5 linked regions of the Ovis aries genome follow. The protein of the gene in region 1 interacts with the protein of each later gene in a pairwise test. Links are inferred from orthologs where the notes say so. Each region holds a gene or a part of one and is shown in the gene's direction. Other genes may lie near its edges.

Region 1 (3,500 bases):
ACTCGGGAGGTTTTTGATCACGAGGTGACAGTGTCGGAACACAGTCCTCTCCGGGGGTGACAAGCCCAAGTCAGGCTGGGGGCCGCGCGCCTGGGGGGACGTCTGGATGGGTCCTTCTTGAAGGGGCGACGAGGAGGCCCTGGGGGCCGGCCCTCTTCTGCAGTGCCATCCCCCGGCAGAGCCTCAGGCAGGGCCGCGCCCAGGGCTGTGTCGGTATGCAGTGCATTCTGAAGTTTGTGTTTTTTCCCTAAATTAGGAAGCTAAGTGTGGCTTCAGCAGACAGATTTTGGAAATACTAAATAGTACTGGGTAAGTAAATCTTGTTTTCAGAGAATGTATTTAAGAAATTCTAACTTTTCTGTTCTGACATTGATTCTTCTCAGTTGTTATATCTGTTCATGTATTTTTATCTATTTATTTTTGCTGTAGCATTTTATGAATGCTTTAACGTAGACCACAGTAGAATTTTTTTGACCAATGTCAACCTATTGGTAACATAAAGGAGGTATTTTGGCAGACATTGAGATAACTATTTGTCTACTTTCCCAGAGGAAAACTAATAACTGAGTTCTTAGCATGCATAAAGATATTTTAGGGAAAGTGTATTATAGATTTTTAATTTTCTTAAAAAAATATTCTAGCTTCCAAATAGTTTGTGAAACAGGAAGCACAGGAAGATCCGTTATCTGAGTCTGAGAGGTGGGTAAATCAGATTGTGGGGCTCATGCTTTTGATCTCAGTGACGAAGCTGCCAGGTAAGAAGACTGGAATTGTGGTCAAACCGCCTATTTAGAGATACTTAGCACATGTTCTGTGTTGCCCAATGTTTTTGCTTATTTTTCTTCCTTATTCTCACCTGCCTCTTTTCCGTATTGTAAGGATTCTAACTGTAGCTTTAGATAGACTCCTATGACGTGACAGGAAAAGTCACCTTTGAAGTGTGTGGGCATTCTTGGGCTGGGCGGAGTAACACAGCCCCAAATGCAGCTTTCGGGACAAAAGAAGAACAGCCATTCTGTTCAAGTGACTGTGATGCTTCACAGAGGAGAGACTGGTCGCTGTTGTGCTCCGGCCTCCAGCTGCCCCATCCTCACGCTGCCTTGGGCTGCAGTCGAGGCTGGCGCGGCTCTGGTCACTTTCTTCCCTTTGCCACATCTCCTGTGAGTCACCCTCAGGCCACCTGTCCTTAGTGCCAGCTAGTCCCCTGGGGTTCTGAGACCAGGATGGGACAGTTCTGGGCCCATTACAGCCTAAGTATTTGGTGGAAAGTCTCCATCACTTACTTTCTGTCCCATGTCTGTCTAAGCTGGATTGGATTGGAAGCACCAGTTCCCCCAGAGCAGGGAGCTTCTTTGGGACGGAGTACCTTCCCGACTCCAGGCTGGCTGAACCCTTCCAGGGTCTGTTGACGTGGAGGACTGTGGTCCTGCTGGAGCTGTTGGAATGTGGGGGGCGCTTCTAGCGCTCTGTTCCTTTCCTCCATCCTTGCTCTTGTCTGTCCCTTCTGAGGAAAGACATCTGCCCCGAGGGGCTGAGCACCCCCATGTGCCTTGGGGCGTGGGAGGCGCCCTTTCAGGGAACTTCAGGAGGTGTTCTGGCAGCTGTGACTCGCCACACCTGTGAACATGTAGGCCCAGCACTTCTTGGATCCCTTGTATCAGGGGCAGTTCCAGAACTCAGTGTTTTTTTTCATATTGTGTCAATTAGGAGATCTGCCTCTTTAGTTCAACTTGAAGGGAGACTTATACTGTGTGGTTCTGTTTTTCTTTTTTTAATCTTTTTTGCTCTTCTTTCAGACGTTACATTCTTGATACTTGTTGCTGATTTATCCTGTCAAGTTCTTTTTTTTGACTCTTTCTTGCATCATGGACTGTTTTCTTTGGAACTTGTGTATTAAGTTGGAGAAGGCAGTGGCACCCCACTCCAGCACTCTTGCCTGGAAAATCCCATGGATGGAGGAGCCTGGTAGGCTGCAGTCCATGGGGTCGCTAAGAGTCGGGCACGACTGAGCGACTTCACTTTCACTTTTCACTTTCATGCACTGGAGAAGGAAATGGCAACCCAGTCCAGTATTCTTTCCTGGACAATCCCAGGGATGGGGGACCCTGGTGGGCTGCCATCTATGGGGTCGCACAGATTCGGACACGACTGAAGTGACTTACCTTAGCTTGTGTATTAAGTAAACAGGATTTCCCTATGAAAATGGCTTTGGTTTTATGGAAAACGAAATTCGTTTTTTCATACGTGGCATTTTCTTTGGCCAGGGTTTGAAATTGCACATGCGCTCACAGTCTTCCTGCAGGGATCCAGTCACACATGCTTACTCGTTCCTTGACCACCTTGTAATAAAATCCTCCTGCGTAGATGTGGTTGAATTTTCACTCATTTATACTAGCAGCCTCATGACACGGCATGCAGCCACAGCCCTCGCGCTGGCTGCAGGCGTCGTGGGGAAAGCACACGTGCTCTGCGTGCTCTGTGGGAGGCTCATTCCCAGCGGGGGAGCTGCCTGAGGGCGTGCCCCCCGCTGGTGAGCTCGCAGCCTCCATCCCTGGGTGCCGCAAGGCTGCCCCCTCTTGCTCCCGAAGCAGAAAATCCAGAAAAATTTCTATTTTGGGATGACTTATTCTGTCAAGTACAAGACAGATAAAGAAGTAAAATAATTTGTTTTTCCCCAAATTTTGTTAGCATCGAAATAGTTTTACTTTTCTTGACTGTTTCTGAAACACCAAATAGAGTTTATAATTTTTGTCTAAAACTGTATTTCTTGTCAAAATGTTTTCTCTTTTTTGTAGGATTGAATATGAGACATTTGATATATTGGAGGATGAAGAAGTAAGTTCTGTGTTTTAGGTTTTGTCTTTTGTCTTAGTTTTAACCATTAGGATTGTCATTTATTCTAATCTGATAGGATGATTTCAGGGTTCCTGTTGTTTCCGTAGGTTCGGCAAGGATTAAAAGCTTACTCCAATTGGCCGACGTACCCTCAGCTGTATGTGAAGGGGGAGCTTGTCGGAGGACTGGACATCGTTAAGGTGAGGTCAGGAATCACTGGGAGCCTGGAGGAATGAAAGCCTGAGCGTGGATGAAAACTATTGTTTCACTGGACTTGTCCTTGGTGTCCTTTTCTGGCCTCGTGTCTGATCGCTCCAGCCCAGAGCTACCATCTCTCCAACAAGAATATCTTGTCTCTTATCTCTCACCGGAGCCAGTCAGAATCAGCCCCTCTGTATGGCCTCTCCTGCCCACTAGGTCCTTTGCTCTGGTTCTGAGGAGCTGCCAGCCAGGGTCCCCAGAGAGACTCAGCACTCAGAGCAGCTCTGGGCGTGGCCAGGCTCCACCCCTGCTTCACTCACACGGCACTAAGTTCTTCCATGTTTTAGCTTCTTTCCACCCTGTCTCTACTTTGAATTTCCTTGCACAGTCCGTATTTAAATATGCTTTCTGTATCCTTCAGGCTCCTCTTGTCTGTGAATCTTAGGTTTTTTCATCCAGAAATA
Region 2 (4,128 bases), on another chromosome or scaffold:
TACTGGAGTGGGGTGCCATTGCCTTCTCCATGAATGCTACAGATCTTACTTGAATTCTGTACCTAGCTTTTCTTATGGAAGCAAAGGACATACCAAGGTTCTATAGAACCTGAGAAGGACAAGAAGCTTATCTGCAAGACATATACTTGTTTCTCAGTTTCTACTGAGCCCTCACTGTGAACCCCCAGCATATTAACTTTTGCTGCTCACTGTAAGAGGGGATCAGCAGCAACTCAGAGAGGACAGTAACACCACCAACAAAAAGGCAGAGAGGGAAGTAACTCACTGAAGAAGGAGCAACGTTCTGGTGGAAGAAAGGGGCAACGTTGTTAGAGCTTTATGGAGAAGTATGTATGGAAAAGAGAAATCATTATATACTTTTGGATTTCTGGGCCAGAGAAGAAAGGGGTTTTCTTTTTTTTTTTTTAAAGAGAAAAGTTCATGCCCTTATCACTTTTCTCCTTTTCAAGAAAGATAAAGAGACTGCATAGAGTGCAGGAAGAGAGTAGGCCTGACTTTGTTCCGCCGAGTTTTCTTCTCAAGAGAAGCAAAGATTGTCAGGTTTGAGTGAAGCAGAGAGAAGCCTAAGAGGCCGGTTTCAGCTGCAGCCTGCTAGGGGAGCTGCTATTTTAAGAGAGAAGTATAAAACGTGAGAAGCACAGCACTTAATGTTTAACTCCATGAAATGAAAATAATTGGCAAGTGCGTTAGTAGTAGCTACAGGGTGAGAATGTTTATCCAGGAAGCGCACCTTGATGGCCAGAATCGTCTCTTTTTTTTTTTTTTTAATTAAAGGAAAGTTGAGTATCAAGAGGATATAGAGATATAATCGACCTTCACACACTTTGAGTGTTTAAAACACAACCCCTGGTGTGTGTTCTCATCTCAGGAGCGCTGGCTTGGTCTTTGTCACCTATCGGATTTCAGGAAGGCTGACTTGAGACGCGGCGTTGCCATTTCCTGGGCCCTCACTTAGTCTTTTTCTCCCGGCGCTGTCAGCCAGATCCTTTGTTGTGCCTGCTCTGCGTTCATTCTCTCTGCCCTCACACCTCCAGACAGTGGGATGGGGATTTTTCCCGGGCCTTGCAGGAAGAGCTCCGGACGGCCACCGTCTCAGGCATCAGATAGAGGACAGCTTTAACCAGCCAGTGGGTGTCGGGGCTGGGTCGGCGCCGCGCCGGGAGCAGACACGCTTTTGTGTCGGTGTTTGTCTCCGCGGCCGGCTGACCCCCTGGCGGGAGGCGCGGGCGCGACCCCCGAGGAGGCGGGGCCTCCGAGCCGGGCTCCGCCTGGTGTGGATTTCACGGTCGCCGCCGCCGCCCTCGTTTGTTCCCGTTACATCGCCCCGTCCTGAGCAAACAGTCGTGGCTGCCCAGGAGCCCTCCATGGCCTTCCTCCCACCCAACTCCGCGTTTTGCTTTTCCCCCTCGCTTTCTCATTTTTCCTCGTTAACAGCATCCTGGCGGGGCGCTTGGCAAAACTCAGGCTAAAAACAGAGAAAAGAGAGAAAAAGGACACATTCGATGCGCCTGCCTCCTTCCTCCAGAGTTTGCGAAGGATCTTAACCATGTCTGAGTCGGGGGAGATTAGTGAATTTGGCTACATCATGGAATTATTAGCCAGAGGCAAGGTAAGTGCCGGGGGCGCGGAGCTGCGGCCTGGGTTCCGCCCCCGACCTCACCCCCGCCCCCGACTCCGGGCGCTACTTGGCCTGTGGCTGCAGGTGTCCTGGGCCTGGCAGCCCCCGCGGAGGGCGGGACTGGAGTCCCAGGTCCGTGTTCTCAGCCGCTGCTGAAAGCAAAGCAGACATCTGGCCTCCCACCCTCTCCACCCCCATTAATAGCGCGGCATCTCTGAAATGAGCCGAAAAGGAATTGGCCAGCTGGGTGACGGCGGGGCTCTGGGGACCGAGAGGGGCAAGGGCTCAGCCTGCGAAGATGGGGAGGAGGGCCGGGCGTTGGCCAGGGGGCGCTCCTCGACGCGCCCAGGGCTCCTAAGCGTGGTTGACATCGTGTGGTTGACCTGGTCTGTCCAGGCGCAGAGCGCGGAGGGAAGGCTGGACCAGACGGTGGATAGGCTATGAGGGTGGGATCGGGTTCACGCAGTCCGACCTTACGGCGGATAAGTAGGGGCAGAACCCCGGTTCGCCCAGCCCTGGTGTTTTCAGGTCCTCGGCCGTTGTCCCAGGCCCGGAACATTTCAGGCACCCTTCCTTTGGAGGGGAGAGGGAGATGCGAAGGCGCCGGGTTTCAGCCAGGCACCTGTTCCTTTCGGAGTCCTTTGGAAACCCAGGCTGGCGCTGTCGGTGGCGCCTGGTGACCCCGCCCTCAGCCGGGCGGAGTGGCGCCTCGCTGAAGCAGAAAGCCTTGCCGGAGTCTGCCTTCCGAGCTACATCTGAGAAAGCGCCTGTAGAGGCTCCTATGTGGTTCACAGGCGGGAAGAACTGGGAAATGTGAAAGTCCCGGGATTCGTCTGTGCCTAGAAAGCGAGACACGGTCTTCTGCAGCTGGAGTTTCGAGAAAAGGTTATGGCACAGATGAGAAAAGGATGCCCTGCGCAAGGTCATCTTGAAAATGAAGGATGATCTGCAGCTGTGCTGTGAGCCCCTGGAGCATGAGTCTCATATCTCACCAACCCCAGCAACGCGGATGCTTCAGGCCAGACAGTCCCACGGCTGGGGAGCAGGTTAACGTCCCCCACCCCACCTCCCGCGACCGAAGGGTCCTGGGCTAACTGTGGGCCTCCTGAATTCCCTCTCTTGTTGTGCAAACAGGGAATACACTCACCCAAAACAGAATGCTTATTCACTTTTCTTTAGTAGAGTCAGTGTTTCAGGCCACCCCTGCCATTTACACCTCGGACCAGAAGCAGGAACGGAGGACACCGGTTCGACTTTCTTTCGTGTCCCGAGGCTCCATCCTACACTTCGAGGAGCCTCCAGCACACGCATAGGGACATTCTGGCCAGCATCTCCAAGCTCTTTATCGCCCCAAACAGCTTCCCCTTGGCCACGAGCACCTCCCTTCCCCAACCCCGGTCTGGAGTGCCTACCACAACCTTCTCCACCCTCTGGAGGATTGACCCTGGGGAGAGAAGTTCCGAAGGAAGTGCTGAGCGAGGAGGCTGGCTTCCAGGGGGCGAGCCTGGCCTGTCTAAAGAACACAGCAGGACCCTGGTTGCCCAGGAACCAACCAAAAGGGGCAGGAGGATGCCTTCAGTTGGTTACAAAATCAATGGCCCACCCTAGGTGGGATCAGGAGCAGAATGACTGAGGAGTCAGTTCAGGCCCCTGGTGCTCAGGTATTCTTCAGAGTTAGCTGGAATTGTATTCCTTGGCTAATACTGTCCTTCAGTAAGCGGGCAACACTTGATATTAGGAGAGAATAGTTTTGAGGTAGGATCCAGGGATCTGCAAGTTGACATCCCAGGTGATTATGAAGCAGGCAGGTGAACTTCTCATGAACACTAAATGGGCAAGGAGGGTGGAATCATTAATGAACCTGTAAAACGTCTTATAATAAAGTCAGGTGAAGAAAACTAACCTCTTGCAATTAGCATTGTGTGTCAGAGTACGCTCACTGTAGTGAAAAAACACAACTCAGAACCTTCTGGCTTCATCCACTGAATTTCTCTGCCTCACTCTCCACTAGGTGGACACTCTTCAGTAATGGGCCTGCAGCTGCAGTGGAGACGTGAGCTCAGCTGACTTTGAGAGTCAGAGGGGCAAGTGTGCCTGTGAAATCTCTGGAGTGGGAGAGTGGGCTCTCACAGTAGGGTCTCTACCTTTTATCTGGTGGAGTGAGGGGTCAGGAGTAGCCTCTTAACCATTACAACTCAAGCTTCTTCTTTGCCCTCTTTCCTTATAACTCTGCTCCTCCCAGTTACCCTCCTCATATATGTGATTATACAGACTTTGAACACTGAATACCTTACTGAGCATTAGCCATGGACTAACAGACCTTTGAGGTTTGACTTGCTTTCTTTTCCTCTGAGAAGTTAGGTTCCACCTTGTAGCTCAAGTTGGTAATGTAAAGAATAATATGAAATGGATCTAATTACACCAGGTTTGTGAAGTTTAAAACGAGAGTTGAGGCTCCTGTCTTCCTGCCCCCTCCCCTTTCCTCCCCT
Region 3 (4,095 bases), on another chromosome or scaffold:
TTTTTTTTGTCACTTGTGCTTTTTGGTATCATGTCTAAGAAGGCTTTGCCTCATCTGAGATCACAAATATTTTCTCCTAAGTTTCCTTTTAAAAGTTTTATAATCTTAACTCTTAAACTTGGGTCTATGATTGATTTCAAGTTAATTTTTTAACATGATGTGTGGTCCAACTTATGTTAGTTTTATATATCCATTTTAGGGGCCTGGGACTATGTTATGAAAGGAAGTTCTTTCAGTTCATAGTCCCCAGCAATGCATACCTGGGGTCCTTACCTCTGTACTCCTCCAGACCCAGCAGAAGCCACCTGGGCCTTAGATACCTTTGACCAAGGATCAAACCCAGGCCCCCTGCAGTGGAAGCGCAGAGACTTAACCACTGGACCACCAGGGAAAGTCCAATAATCTGATATTTATAAAGCACTTTACAAAAAGGAAGTATGATGTAGAAGCCAAGTTTTGACTTCATGGTTAGATGACTATCGCACAAGGAAATTACTTCAATTAATTCTGTGCTGTGCTGTGCTTAGTCACTCAGTCGTGTCCAACTCTTTGTGACCCCATGGACAGTGGCCCACTAGGTTCCTCTGTCCATGGGGATTCTCCAGAAAGAACAGTGGAGTGGTTTTCCATGACCACCTCCAGGGGATCTTCCCAACCTAGAAATCAAACCCAGGTCTCCTGCACTGCAGGTGGATTCTTTACCATCTGAGCCACCAAGGAAGTCCTCAATTAATTCTACAAGACATAAATAAAAAGTAATAATCTTTGAAGTGAAGTGTGGTTATGAGTTTAGCAAGCATTTCCAGCCACAAAGCTGACTGCTGCTAGAAGGACCTTTTACGAGACTGAGATAAAATGGCTCCTCTGCCTCTCGAGAGTATAGTCCAAATTTTTCACATATCACACACTACAAATGCAGAATATTACCACATGATTTATTTCCTTTATCACGATATACTAAGCAATATATCACTTGAATCATTTCTTTCAGTTTTGATTTAGCATTAAATTTGAAGTAGGAGTACATTGCTACCTGTAGAGCTGAGGAGCCTGATAGGCTACAGTCCATGGGGTCACAAAGAGTCTGACACAACTGAGCAACTTCACTTTCACTTCACTTGCAACCTGTAGAGGGCAGTCAGAACATACCGAGACTCTCATCCTGGAATAGAGCCCACGGACTGTGGATAAACTGCTGACCCACAACACAGATAATCCTCTTGCTTCGAGGGATGCGACTTTACAGGGAGGCCCCCAGCAGACGAAGCGATGGCCCAGCACCAGCCAAAGGAAGAGAAATAGAGTGGACCCTGGGCTGGTACCGTTAAAATCAAGCTACAGGATTCGATTGAGGCTTTATTGTAAAAACATGCCCAGGCTTTCCCAAGACAACCAACAGGGCCACCAGAAACATTTCTCCAGACCATCGAGGAGGATACGATTTCTGCCTCTGCCGTGGGCTGAGCCATATAATGTGAATGTTCACCAAACCGTGGAAAATGAAGGATGTGCCACAGCCACGCACAATGTCAAGGTAAGACCATCTCCCCAGTCCGTGACCGTTCTTGGCAAGGAAAGGGTTTATCCAGAAAGAATACAAAACCATAGGAAAGCTTTAGTGTCAGCGCTCACTTTACCTTATTGAAGATGTATCAAAAAGGCTTCCAAACTAAACCCAAGAGAAAAACTAGGACTTTGATAATAACCTGATTCTTCCAGTTTTCTCCAACATAAACAGCTTCCCTTTACAACAGCAAATGACTACATTTTGTTTGTTTCAGGAAGTAATGTCTTAAAAAGCAGAAAACCTAGCCATAGATTTCTATGGCTACTATCAATGCTTAGATATTCTGACATAAAAGTTATATCCCATATAGTAATGAAAAAAAATGGGCTTCCCTTGTGGCTCAGTCAGTAAAGGATCCACCTGCAATGCAGGAGATATAAGATATCCGGGTTCAGTCCCTGGGTTGGGGAGATCCCCTGGAGAAAGAACCCGCAACCCACTCCAGTATTCTTGCCTGGAAAATCCCATCGACAGAGGAGCCTGGCAGGCTATAGTCCGTGGGGTTGCAAGAGTTGAACACAACTGAGTGACTAAAACACCACCAATGAAAAAGTATAGATTGCTTTCCACCAAAATTGCTTGAGGGAAAAAAAAATTGGTAAAACTAATACAGGCATGAAAGACCATTTAGGAACTAAGGGTGTTTTTCCTAAAGTCATAGTTGCCTAGATGAATTTCTTAAGCATGAATTTCTATCAGTAGACAATGTGATTTCCCCGAAGAGTAACCATTTTCCTATTCAGCGTTGTGTGTATCTTTGCAGAAAGTACAGTTTAAGTCTGTCGATCCTCTTAACTATTAATAGAAACACCTCTTAAAAGGCTATTTAGTATGGAGGGGGATGGACATGTGTTAATGCCTGTGACCAATGATCAGAGCTCAGAAGTAAATGCTGATAAATTCTACAACCGCAGACCTGTCCAGATTCTGCAGCACTAGAAACTGTGCCTGTGCCTTCGCTCATATCCTCATAATAATCACGTATTTGCAGATTCTAATTATCTAGATCTGTCCTTTCCCCATAGTTTTTTTGTTTTATCTTTTGACTGCACCATGCAGCATATGGGGTCTAAGTTCCCAGACCAGGAATGGAACCTTGGTAGCATGGAGTTTTAACCATTGGACAACCAAGGAAGTTCCTCCCCAATCTTATTTTAACCAACTGGCACAAGGAGAAGTTGTTTGTTTGTTTGTTAAGTCATTGGGAAGCTTTTTCAATAGGAAGGTACTTGATTTCAGTGGTTCAATAGGAAGCTACACTTGATTTCAGTGGTTACACAAACCTTCTCATGTGTTAAAATTGCATAGAACTATACTCACCTGTCGGGCTTCCCAGGTGACTTAGTGGTAAAGAATTCACCTGCCAGCGCAGAAGATGTGGGTTCCATTCCTGGGTCAGGAAGATCCCCTGGAGAAGAAAATGGCAACCCCTCCACCACACACACACATACACACACGGGTGCATACAAACTTATGAAATCTGAATGAGCTCTTAGAATTATACCAGTGTGTCTCCTGGCTTTGATGTTGTACAATTTATGCAGTTTCCATTGGGTGGAACTGTGTGAAGAGTGTGTGGGACCACTGTGTGTACATTCTTTTGTGAAACTTCCAGTGAATCTATAATAATTTCAGAATTAAATGTGTAAAAAAAATCCTTCCAAAAGCAGGTTAGACTGAAAATAACAATTCATTTGTGTTGCATAAATGCGTTGTCTATTGTGGTTCTTCTTGCTATTCTTTTTTATTTGGATTCTTAACCAATTTCGTTAGGTCAGAAGTGCTGAGGTGGTCAAACCTTTTTTAGAGATGAGAAAGCATGTTTGTAAAAAACACTGTTACATGTGTGCAGTCAGCTCAGTGGTGATTCAAACCCATGTTTTTTCTGACACTGACTTCGTTACTAAGTCAATAGATTCTGGCTGTGCTTTAGAAGCAGGCTATAATTTCCCAGGCTGGAATCCAGCCTCCTCAGTAGTGATTTATCTGTGCATTCTGCCCAAAGAACCCAACAAAACTGCTAATTTACTACAAAATAAATTAACATCTCTCCACCTACACAGGCACACAGACAGACACACACTTATGAACTTGACTTCATTGGGATTATTTTTTCTCCACCAGGATTTCTGCTTCCTTCCATTCAGAGCACAGAGACCGAGTGGGAGAGGGGGTGCTCCCTGGACCAGGTGCTCTTTTTAGTGATAAAAGTGAGAGAGAGGAAACTTTACAGCCACCCTGGTGAGCAGTTATCTACCCATCCATCTGTCAGTACAGATAGATGCATACACATGTATGCATTCTTTCCCAGTAATAAAAGTGATCAGAGCTTAGACCAGAAAATTTTCCACATAAAATTATTTTTCACGTCCTTTTAATTGCTGTCCCTCTGAGAGTGCAGACTTTTAGGTGCTCTCCTGGTCCAGGTGTATGACCCCTTGAGAAGCCCATCAAAGCCCTTGCTGTGAGACATTACACACTGAAAGGAGAGAGAGAAACTCCAAGGCCCCCAAAGGTACCTACCAAGA
Region 4 (4,192 bases), on another chromosome or scaffold:
GTAGACCTTTGAATACAGGCAAATATTCCTAAATCTAAGATGTGGATTTAAAGGAAGAGGTCTAAAGTAATTCTTAAGAGATTTGATACCCAAGGTAAAGCCACCACTAAAGGTTCTTGGTTGACAGTTGAAAGCGACATCAGAGGAAGATGTTTTTGGCGTCTGATTTATCTTACACTGAACAGGGGCCCGAGGAAGGGAGCCCGGATTGTGGCGGCCTTGGAATCTGAAGATGGAGGTGTATAACATGCTGAACAATGAAGGCTGGGAAAATTAATTATGGTCATCTCTATTTTGAAATATCATGCAGTCAAGTACAATCGTTTTGGGAGACAATATTAAGTGGCACGGGAAAACGGGGTAAAATTTAAGCACACTACAAAACAAAATGAAGCCGTTTTTATCAAACGCTGTATATTCAGGTAGGAAAGAGACAAAATACCTCTGGGGTGGAGTTTCTGTTTTTTTCAATTTTAATACAAAGAGCTTGTGTTGCTTTTATGACCAGAAAAAAAGTTTTCTTCCCGAAAGAACCTCACTTAATGGTTTCGGCCCTGGCCAGCAGATTCCTAGGACCCACTTCCCGGCACTACCCCAGCCCCTTGGGGTGTGTGACTGTTGAGACCTAGGAAAAGGCAGGCAGTGGTGAACCGCTCCTGCCTCCGGGCAAGCGCAGCCTCTGGACCGGAGGACTTGCTTGGGGGTCCAGCGGCAGAGGTGGCCACACGCCGGGAAGCGCTCAGAGCCAGAACCCTCCCCGCTTATTACGCGCCGGTGTGGGGACACCAAGGGGCAGGACGTCAGCCTCAGGAGCCGCGGAGAGCTGGAAGGGCGGGAGGCAATGGGGCCCCTCCAAACGTCTTCCTAAACTCCAGCCCCAAAGTAGCCGGCGGGGAACCGCGCCAGCCCGCGCGCCAGCCGAGACTTGGGTGACTGACAGGAGGTGGGAATGTGGGCGGAGCCTCTAGCGCGAGCTGTGATTGGAAAAACCCACACCTCCGGGGAGAGAGGGCGGGCAAGTTTGCGAGGGATGCGCAGAGGAGGGTGCTCAGAGCCTTCTACGTGATTGGCTAGCAGCGGAGTGAACCGGGAGCTGTTCCGATGATTGGCAGAGGGTAGACAACCCTCCGAAACTGCTTTGGCTTCGCCTATTGGCATCCTGCGAGAGTAGGCGGGATTGGTTCATCGAGGGGTGCCGTTGATTAGCTGGCGGCTGAGAGTTAGGGTGTTGGAGAGAGCTGGGGGAGGAGGGGCGGTGGGGGCAGCGACTTCTTCCTTGTTATTGGGTGGTGAAATGAGTGAGGGGTGGCACCATGGGCCAGCGGCTGGCTAGGATTGGCGAGTGCTGGGGTGAGTGACAGGCAGGGTGGCGAGCTGCGCGACCAGCGGTTTGTTTTTCGGAGCGTTCCTGAGGTGGAGAACGGCGGCCGGACGGAACGACTTCGGGACTGAGGGACTGGCGGTCGGGCGGGCCGAGCGGCGCCGCCGAGGCCGGGCTGGGCCGAGCCGAGGAGCGCCGGGGATGTAGCGGGCCACCCTGCCCATGCCACAGCGCCCGGCCGCGGGCGGAGCCGGAGCCGGAGCCTGGGGAGGCGGCGGGGGCCCCGAGCGCAGCCCGCGCCCCCCGCGCGGAGCCAGGCCCGCTGCCGTCCCCGCCGCCCGGGCCCCCGGCATGCAGCTCCGGCTGCGGAGGTGACACTCGGGCCCGAGCCGCCGCCGCCGCCATCGCCACCATGGGTGAGTGTCGCCACCGCCCCGGCCTGTGCCCGCGCTGCTTCGCGTCGCCCCGCCCCGGGCTGAGGGGAGGAGGACCCTGGGCCGCCGCCTGACAGGCATGGACAGCCCGCCCGGCCGGGGCTGCGGACCGCCGGCGCCCGCCCGCCCCGCTCGGGCTTAGCGGCTTCGCGGCCCGGGTGGGGGTTCTGGCTCCCCCGGCCTTCAAGGGCGGCCCCGGTCCGCAGAGCCCACTTGGCCGCCTCTTTCCTGGCCGCGCGGCCAGCACATCCCGAGGAAGCGGCAGCGGGTCGAGGGCCCGTGCTCGGCGGAGCAACGCGCTCCGGGCCGAGCGAGCGGGACCCCGAGCCCGAGGGCGGGGGAGCGCGAGCGCAGTGTGGGGCCCGGGCTGGAGGCTGGTGCAGGCCTAGCTGCTGTTGTGTCTTTTCCTTGATTTGCTTTTTTTTCCTGCCTGTGTCATTTCCTTCCCTTTGCTCACACAGGCCGGCCTGTGAGAGTTCCCGGGGCTTGCTCTCTAGCCCTGTGCGCGCCCCAGCGCAGGGGGGAGGGCGTGCGGGGAGACAGGCTGCGAGGTGATTAAAATGGCAATCACTGTTATCAACCGCGCGGTTGAGAAATGCGAGCTGCACGCAGACTGCTGGAGTTTGGGAATCGGCTGCCAGTGATAATACACATCCTACTCTTTGAAAAATCTCGTTGCAGTGTTTTACATCCATTAGTTTAATCTAGCGGTGTCCCTGAAATTATGTAACTTTTGAAAGAGAGAAACATTCACTACACAAAAAAATCTCTGAAATCATTTCCTTTTTAATCGATGGTTGCAATTTCTGTTGTGAAGATGTAGTCTAAGGAACGTTTTAATGTCTTCCACACGCAGCATTTGAACTGAATTATATTTCATGTCCTTTGTGGTAATTTAGCAGACGACTATTGGAGTTCATTAAGTAGCAGTAACATGTTCGATGTACTTTGCTTCTCTTGTTGGATCAGTTATTTTGATACAGTTGTCTGCAGTGGCAAGTTTTGCAAAGTATTTGTTATTGTCCTAATTAATCAAGGGGTAAACTTCAGTTAAGGGGTCATTTGCACAGCCACTGATTCCATCTGTGAAGAGGGAACATTAATGTTTGCTTTGCCCTATGGCAAGGTCAAGTCGTTTTTGTAGGAGGCTGAGTGTTTGCTGTGTCACATTGGGCAGATAATCTTTTGTGGCCCATCTTTACACTCTGGCTTTGAATGAATTGCCTTGTTCTGTTCCATGCTGCCCCTCTACAGTAAGGAATGGGTTCCTTCATTTATTGGGCTGTTTCCTTCCCATGCTTTATTTCAGAAGTGCTTGCTTTTCTGGGCAAAGTCTGTGACAGCAAGCAGAAAACGAACTCAGTGAGGCCTGGTATTTATTGAATAAATACGTAATTCAACAAATACTCGTTGAGCATTTACTGTAAATGGGGTACATAATTCTTCTTGTCCTCCCCAGGTTTCGCACATTTATCTTGTGCTCTGGAATTTGATGATCACACTAAATCTTTGAATTGATTTGTGAACCTACATTTGTGATAATCTTTCTAATCAGTCTTTCCTTTTTATCCTGCGGGGACAGGCTTAAATCCCAAAGGGGAGTGTGAATACTTAAGGGTGTGCAGACCTCCTATTTTCCACTTTCTCGAGTGCTGAATCAGTGTCCAGATATGTTGACTACATTTCGTGCCTAATAATAAAATAGAGGTCAGCCTGTTTTCACATTTCAAAATCATTTCAAAAAACGTAAATGTGTGAGCATATGGAGAGACAGTGATGGGGACGAAAGGAACTATGTAGATAGGGTCCAGAGCCCCAAAGGAAAAAGGACCAAAAACTCAATATCTTCTCATTTGGTCCCATGTCAGTTTTTACGTGAAGAAAGTGAGACAGTGAGGGGGAAATTAACTTGCCTGGTGACTGCAGTATATTAATCGGCAGACAAGCTGATTTAAGAACCCCTGCCTGGCTTTCTTCACCACTCTTCCCTCATACCATTCTCACTTTCTTTTAAGCAGATGACCTTGGCATGCACCTAGAACTAGTACTGAATTCTTTTAGAACCTGACCTTCAGTTTGCTTTGTATAGGGCTCAGCAAGGGTGTATGTACAAACACGCACGGAGTCTCTCTCTTAAGTACTGGTTTCCATTTTGGTGATATAAATGATGAAAAGTCAGATTCCCAGGTTAGCATGCGTTAGTTGCTGTATGTAGTCCTAAATAAGTTCAAGGGGTAATAAGGGAGAAACATAGACTTATTAGTATTTTATTATACTTGTTAAACTCCAGCCCAGCGAGGAAAGGGGTAAAACTAATTTGAGTTCCTGCCCTTCAGGTTCCTTGGTTAACAGTCATATTTTCCTGAGCTGTTCTAAGCCCCAGACTCAAGCTTGTTTGACAGCTTGGGTTGGTAATGAAAACAGGTCAGATTTTATA
Region 5 (4,300 bases), on another chromosome or scaffold:
TCTTTAGATAAGAGGTCATGAGGCTAGGAGGGTCCCCAGAGGGGAGTGGGGTAGCAGGAGCACCCTGGAGTTAGGGGCTAGTTACAAACCAGATTGTAAATGTTCAACGTATTTAATTAGCCTACACAACCGTAATGGTGTACATACCTACTGAATATGAGCCCCAGGGAAGAATCTCCTGAGATGGCCTTACTGTCTTCTGGTTTGTCGAAGCCACTGGGGCCTTCCTAGAATGTGAGCTACCGAACAGCAGAGGCTGTTCTCCAGGTGAGCGCTGCGTCCCTACAGCCTAGAACCATGCCTGGAGGACTGGAGGGGGCTCACCAAATGTTAAGTGAATAGGCAGACTGGGAACCCCCAGCCCATTCTTGGGGTCCTCTCACTCTTCACCTCTTTGCACCCACTTTCCCCCTCCAATCCGTGCTCCACACCACCCCTCAACATAACCTAGTGTGAGATACAAATTCTGTCCCTCTCCTGCTCAAAGTATTTGATATCTCTCTTTTGCCCAGGATCCCATTTCCCCCACTTCTTTTTTTTAACCAATTGAACTGCTACTTCTTTAAACCCTGACCAGATTTTGCCAACTTCTGTGTTACTTTCTGAGAATTCATCTCTCTCCTCCAAATATTATGATAGTTTTGCCCTCACTCACCAGACAGTGAGCTCCTCAGGACAGGGACTGTGTCTTGTTTCCATACCTCTAGCCTGACATATGGTAGATGCTGAATAAACAGAAGAGTGAAAGAAAGAAATAGATGAACAAAGGTTTGGATAAAAACGAATAGTTTAATTTTGCTAGAATATGAGGGAGAGTAGTAGGAGATAAGATGGAAAAGTCTCTTGGGTAAGATTTTGAAGGGACTTGAAGTCATCTGGAGGGAGAAGATAGGCAGATGGAAGATACTTTGCAGAGTGTGGGAAGCCAGTGTAGGTTTTTGAGCAGAGGTGTAATATGATGAATATTACATTCAGTTTTAACCCATCAGAGACTCATGAATATATGCAGCTGTCCATTCATATTCAAATTCACATCCCACCTATTCATCCATCCACTCTCCCACCCCCAGACTCCCCCAGGAGCCTTCCCTACCCCTTTACCTGCTCCCTGGCCCAGCCAGGAATGTATATATGGGCAGCTTTCCTCTCAGCCAGAGGATGTGGGGGCCCCAGCTGCCTGGGGCTGGGAAGCAGGCCAGGGTTAGCTGGAGCTGGCTGACTAGCAGTCGGGCAGTGCCAGGGAGAACCTGTATAGTGCCAGGTGGTGCCTTGGGTTCCAGGCTGAGCCCATGACCCTGATAACCTTCTGGCTAGGCACATACCTGCCCCTCACTCCACCCCATTCCCACCTTGCTATCGGAGAGGGGGCACAGGGCCAGTAGACCCACAGGACTTTGGCTCCATCTCCAAAAGGGCCTTCTGTGAGTCAGCCTGCTCCCCTCCAGGCTTGCTCCTCCCCCACCCACCTCCTGTTTCCGATGCACGTACAGCCCGTGCACTACAGCCCCAGCCCGTACACACCGTGTCCCAGGACACCCCAGTCAGCCGCATGGCTCCCCTGAGCCCCAGCCCCCGGCTCCCTCTGTGGATTCCGGCCCCTGCCCCAGGCCCAGCTGTGCAATTGCTGCTGTTACTGCTCCTTCTGGTGCCTGCCCATCCCCAGAGCCTGCTCTGGATGCAGGGTGCTCCCGCCACGGGAGGAGATTCATCTGGGGAAGATGATCCACTTGGTGAGGAGGACCTGCCCAGTGAAGAGGATATACCTGAAGAGGAGGACTCACCTGGAGAAGAGGACCTACCTGGATTGAAGATGGACCCAGGAGAAGAGAATTCTCTGAAGTTAGAGGATCTACCAACTATTGAGGCACCCAGGGACACTGAAGACCTCCAGAATAACGCCCACAGAGACGAAAAAGGTAAGTGGTCATCAGCTCTGCAAACCTAGGCTCCAGGAGGTTGGTGCTTCCGCCACATTAAACCCCAGCCCAGGGAGGGATTATTCAGGGAAGAAGAGGAGCCTGTGCTCTGACAGTGATTTTTCCCAACCCCAGGAGCTCCCTTGCCACTAGCCCCTTACCCTCTTTCAGAGCTAGACGAAGAGACAATAAAAAGGGACACGGAGAGAGGTAAGCAGGAAGAGACAGAAAAGAAAGGGGGAGGTTGGAGAGGAGAAGAGATCGGAATGTGGAGAGCAAAGTACGAAGAGACAGGAGAGGAAGGAAGGGGGCTGGTACCAGAGGAAGAGCAGGAAGGGTTTGTAGAAATCACCGCATCTTCAGTCTACAGATGAGGAAAGTGAGACCTAGGAAGAGGGAAACAGCAGGTAGAGGAACCTGGTATCTTGACCCTCAAGCCAGGAACTTTGGAAAAGGAGATGGAGATCAGAAAGGAATCAGGGAGAGTGGGGAGGAGGGATTTCTAAAGGAGAAAGATGGTCTACTAACCTGGGCCTGGGAACTGAGGTCTCCACCCATTTTACAGACCCTAAGACAGTGGTTGCAAGCAGGGCTAGTAGAATCTTTGTGTGGCCCATCAAGCTGTGGCGTTTTATTTGGCTGCAACCTATTGTGCCTGTTTGTGGTGTTTCTGTTACCTGCTATGCTTTTGTAAGAATCTGAGTTTGTGAACGCTGCTAGTGAGGATGACCCACCTCTTTTTGGCCGCCGGGGAGTAACTGGGCTCAAAGATCAGCCTCTTCATTCTTCTCATTTATGCAGGGGATGGCCACAGTCATTGGCGTTATGGAGGTGAGACACCCACCCCCTACAGAGACCCAATCTGGGCACCCGGCTCTGCTGATGCCCGTACACGCATCCCTCACCCCGCATCCACGTCTGCCAGTCCCCCGCCAACCCCGACCCCCGCATCCTTTACCTCTGTTTCCCTCCCGGATCCCTCCTGACTCGACCGCATCACTTTTTCTACTCCACTTCCCTAAAAGTTCCTGATCTTGTCTTCAAACTTCCTGTACACACTTGCCCCCTCCAGGCGCTCCGCCATGGCCCCAGGTGTCCCCAGCCTGCGCTGGCCGCTTTCAATCCCCGGTAGACATCCGCCCGGAGCTCACTGCGTTTTGTCCAGCCCTGCAACCCCTGGAACTCCTTGGCTTTGAGCTCCCGCCACAACCAAAACTGCGCCTGTGCAACAATGGCCACACCGGTGAGGCGGTCTCGGGGCGGAGCCTCAGGGAAGGGGCGGAGTCTACCTGGAGATGAGGGGACGGTCATTGGAAGTTAGGCTGAGGGTGGGGCGGGCCCCGGCTCACCTGCCTCTCACCACACAGTGCAGCTGAGTCTGCCTTCTGGGCTGAAGATGGCGTTGGGTCCCGGACAGGAGTACCGGGCCCTGCAGTTACATTTGCACTGGGGGGCCGCGGGTCGCCCGGGCTCGGAACACACGGTTGATGGTCACCGTTTTCCTGCCGAGGTGAGCGCGCAGCTGTCCGCGAAGTGTCAAAGCGGAGTGCCGGGTAAGGGACCTCGCCCACTCCTACCGTGTCTTCTCCAGATTCACGTGGTTCACCTCAGCACTGCATTTGAGGAATTTGACGAGGCCTTGGGGCGCCCAGGGGGCTTGGCCGTCTTGGCAGCCTTTCTGCAGGTACCAGCCCTGGACACCCCCCACCTCTGCTTTCTTACGCCCTCGGGCTCAGAGTATCTTGCCCCAGAAACTCCCATCCCCGCACCTGACTGTCATCTTCATTCAGTTCTTTCGTTAACGCCCACTGTGAGCCAGGCTCTGGGCCACAGAAAAAAGATCCCGAAACAGTTGATCCTGTCTCCCCACAGCCAGTGAGGGAGGCTGACAGGGTAGACATATACACAGGACACATAGTCAAAGAGGTAGTCAAGGAAGGCCTCACAGAGGAAGTAAAACTTGAAGCCTTTGCTAGTGGGAAAGAAAAAGAGATATTCCATGCAGAGCGAACAGTACACGCAAAGACTCAGAATATGGCCCATTTGGGGAATGGCAGGTGTGGGGAATGGTCAAAAGGAAGAGTCATTTCTCTAATACCTTTATAACCCATAATTTCCCCTTTGCAAAATGCACTGAGTCTAGAGAAGCATTTGACTTCTTTGGACAAACACAATGATTAGAAGAGGCTAATAGGAAGGAAGGGTGGTGAGACACCTGTGGATGGTGAAACACCTGTTAGACTCACTGCCTCCCTGACTCATTAACACCAGCCTCACAGCACTGCAGAGAAGTACCTTGGAAATAGCATGTCCTGGATCCAGAAGTCAAACTCATGAATTATTAAGGTGAATGCAGAGGTACCATGGATACAAAGGTTATTGGG

What was found. The genes of interacting proteins can lie anywhere in the genome.
Region 2: the proteins of GLRX3 (region 1) and TRIM36 interact in binary tests that used the Homo sapiens proteins (3 or more experiments, as listed by UniProt). The two-hybrid records come from large-scale screens. The link is inferred for Ovis aries from reciprocal best matches to the Homo sapiens genes GLRX3 and TRIM36.
Region 3: the proteins of GLRX3 (region 1) and RGS20 interact in binary tests that used the Homo sapiens proteins (3 or more experiments, as listed by UniProt). The link is inferred for Ovis aries from reciprocal best matches to the Homo sapiens genes GLRX3 and RGS20.
Region 4: the proteins of GLRX3 (region 1) and MAP3K3 interact in a two-hybrid assay, tested with the Homo sapiens proteins (2 studies listed by BioGRID and IntAct). The link is inferred for Ovis aries from reciprocal best matches to the Homo sapiens genes GLRX3 and MAP3K3.
Region 5: the proteins of GLRX3 (region 1) and CA9 interact in binary tests that used the Homo sapiens proteins (3 or more experiments, as listed by UniProt). The two-hybrid records come from large-scale screens. The link is inferred for Ovis aries from reciprocal best matches to the Homo sapiens genes GLRX3 and CA9.

The regions. Positions count from the first base shown.
Region 1 is NC_056075.1:48,924,400-48,927,899, forward strand, and holds part of GLRX3 (glutaredoxin-3), read left to right. Parts: intron 1-256; coding exon 257-309; intron 310-2,795; coding exon 2,796-2,835; intron 2,836-2,942; coding exon 2,943-3,035; intron 3,036-3,500. UniProt on the Homo sapiens protein: Together with BOLA2, acts as a cytosolic iron-sulfur (Fe-S) cluster assembly factor that facilitates [2Fe-2S] cluster insertion into a subset of cytosolic proteins.
Region 2 is NC_056060.1:4,005,803-4,009,930, reverse strand, and holds the start of TRIM36 (E3 ubiquitin-protein ligase TRIM36), read left to right. Parts: upstream 1-1,328; 5' UTR 1,329-1,567; coding exon 1,568-1,630; intron 1,631-4,128. UniProt on the Homo sapiens protein: E3 ubiquitin-protein ligase which mediates ubiquitination and subsequent proteasomal degradation of target proteins. Involved in chromosome segregation and cell cycle regulation. May play a role in the acrosome reaction and fertilization.
Region 3 is NC_056062.1:34,891,057-34,895,151, forward strand, and holds the start of RGS20 (regulator of G-protein signaling 20), read left to right. Parts: upstream 1-1,295; 5' UTR 1,296-1,369; coding exon 1,370-1,542; intron 1,543-4,095. UniProt on the Homo sapiens protein: Inhibits signal transduction by increasing the GTPase activity of G protein alpha subunits thereby driving them into their inactive GDP-bound form.
Region 4 is NC_056064.1:47,641,422-47,645,613, forward strand, and holds the start of MAP3K3 (mitogen-activated protein kinase kinase kinase 3), read left to right. Parts: upstream 1-1,392; 5' UTR 1,393-1,733; coding exon 1,734-1,737; intron 1,738-4,192. UniProt on the Homo sapiens protein: Component of a protein kinase signal transduction cascade. Mediates activation of the NF-kappa-B, AP1 and DDIT3 transcriptional regulators.
Region 5 is NC_056055.1:52,860,614-52,864,913, reverse strand, and holds the start of CA9 (carbonic anhydrase 9), read left to right. Parts: upstream 1-1,500; 5' UTR 1,501-1,549; coding exon 1,550-1,916; exon of another isoform or gene 1,917-2,717; coding exon 2,718-2,747; exon of another isoform or gene 2,748-2,988; coding exon 2,989-3,159; intron 3,160-3,283; coding exon 3,284-3,426; intron 3,427-3,507; coding exon 3,508-3,600; intron 3,601-4,300. UniProt on the Homo sapiens protein: Catalyzes the interconversion between carbon dioxide and water and the dissociated ions of carbonic acid (i.e. bicarbonate and hydrogen ions).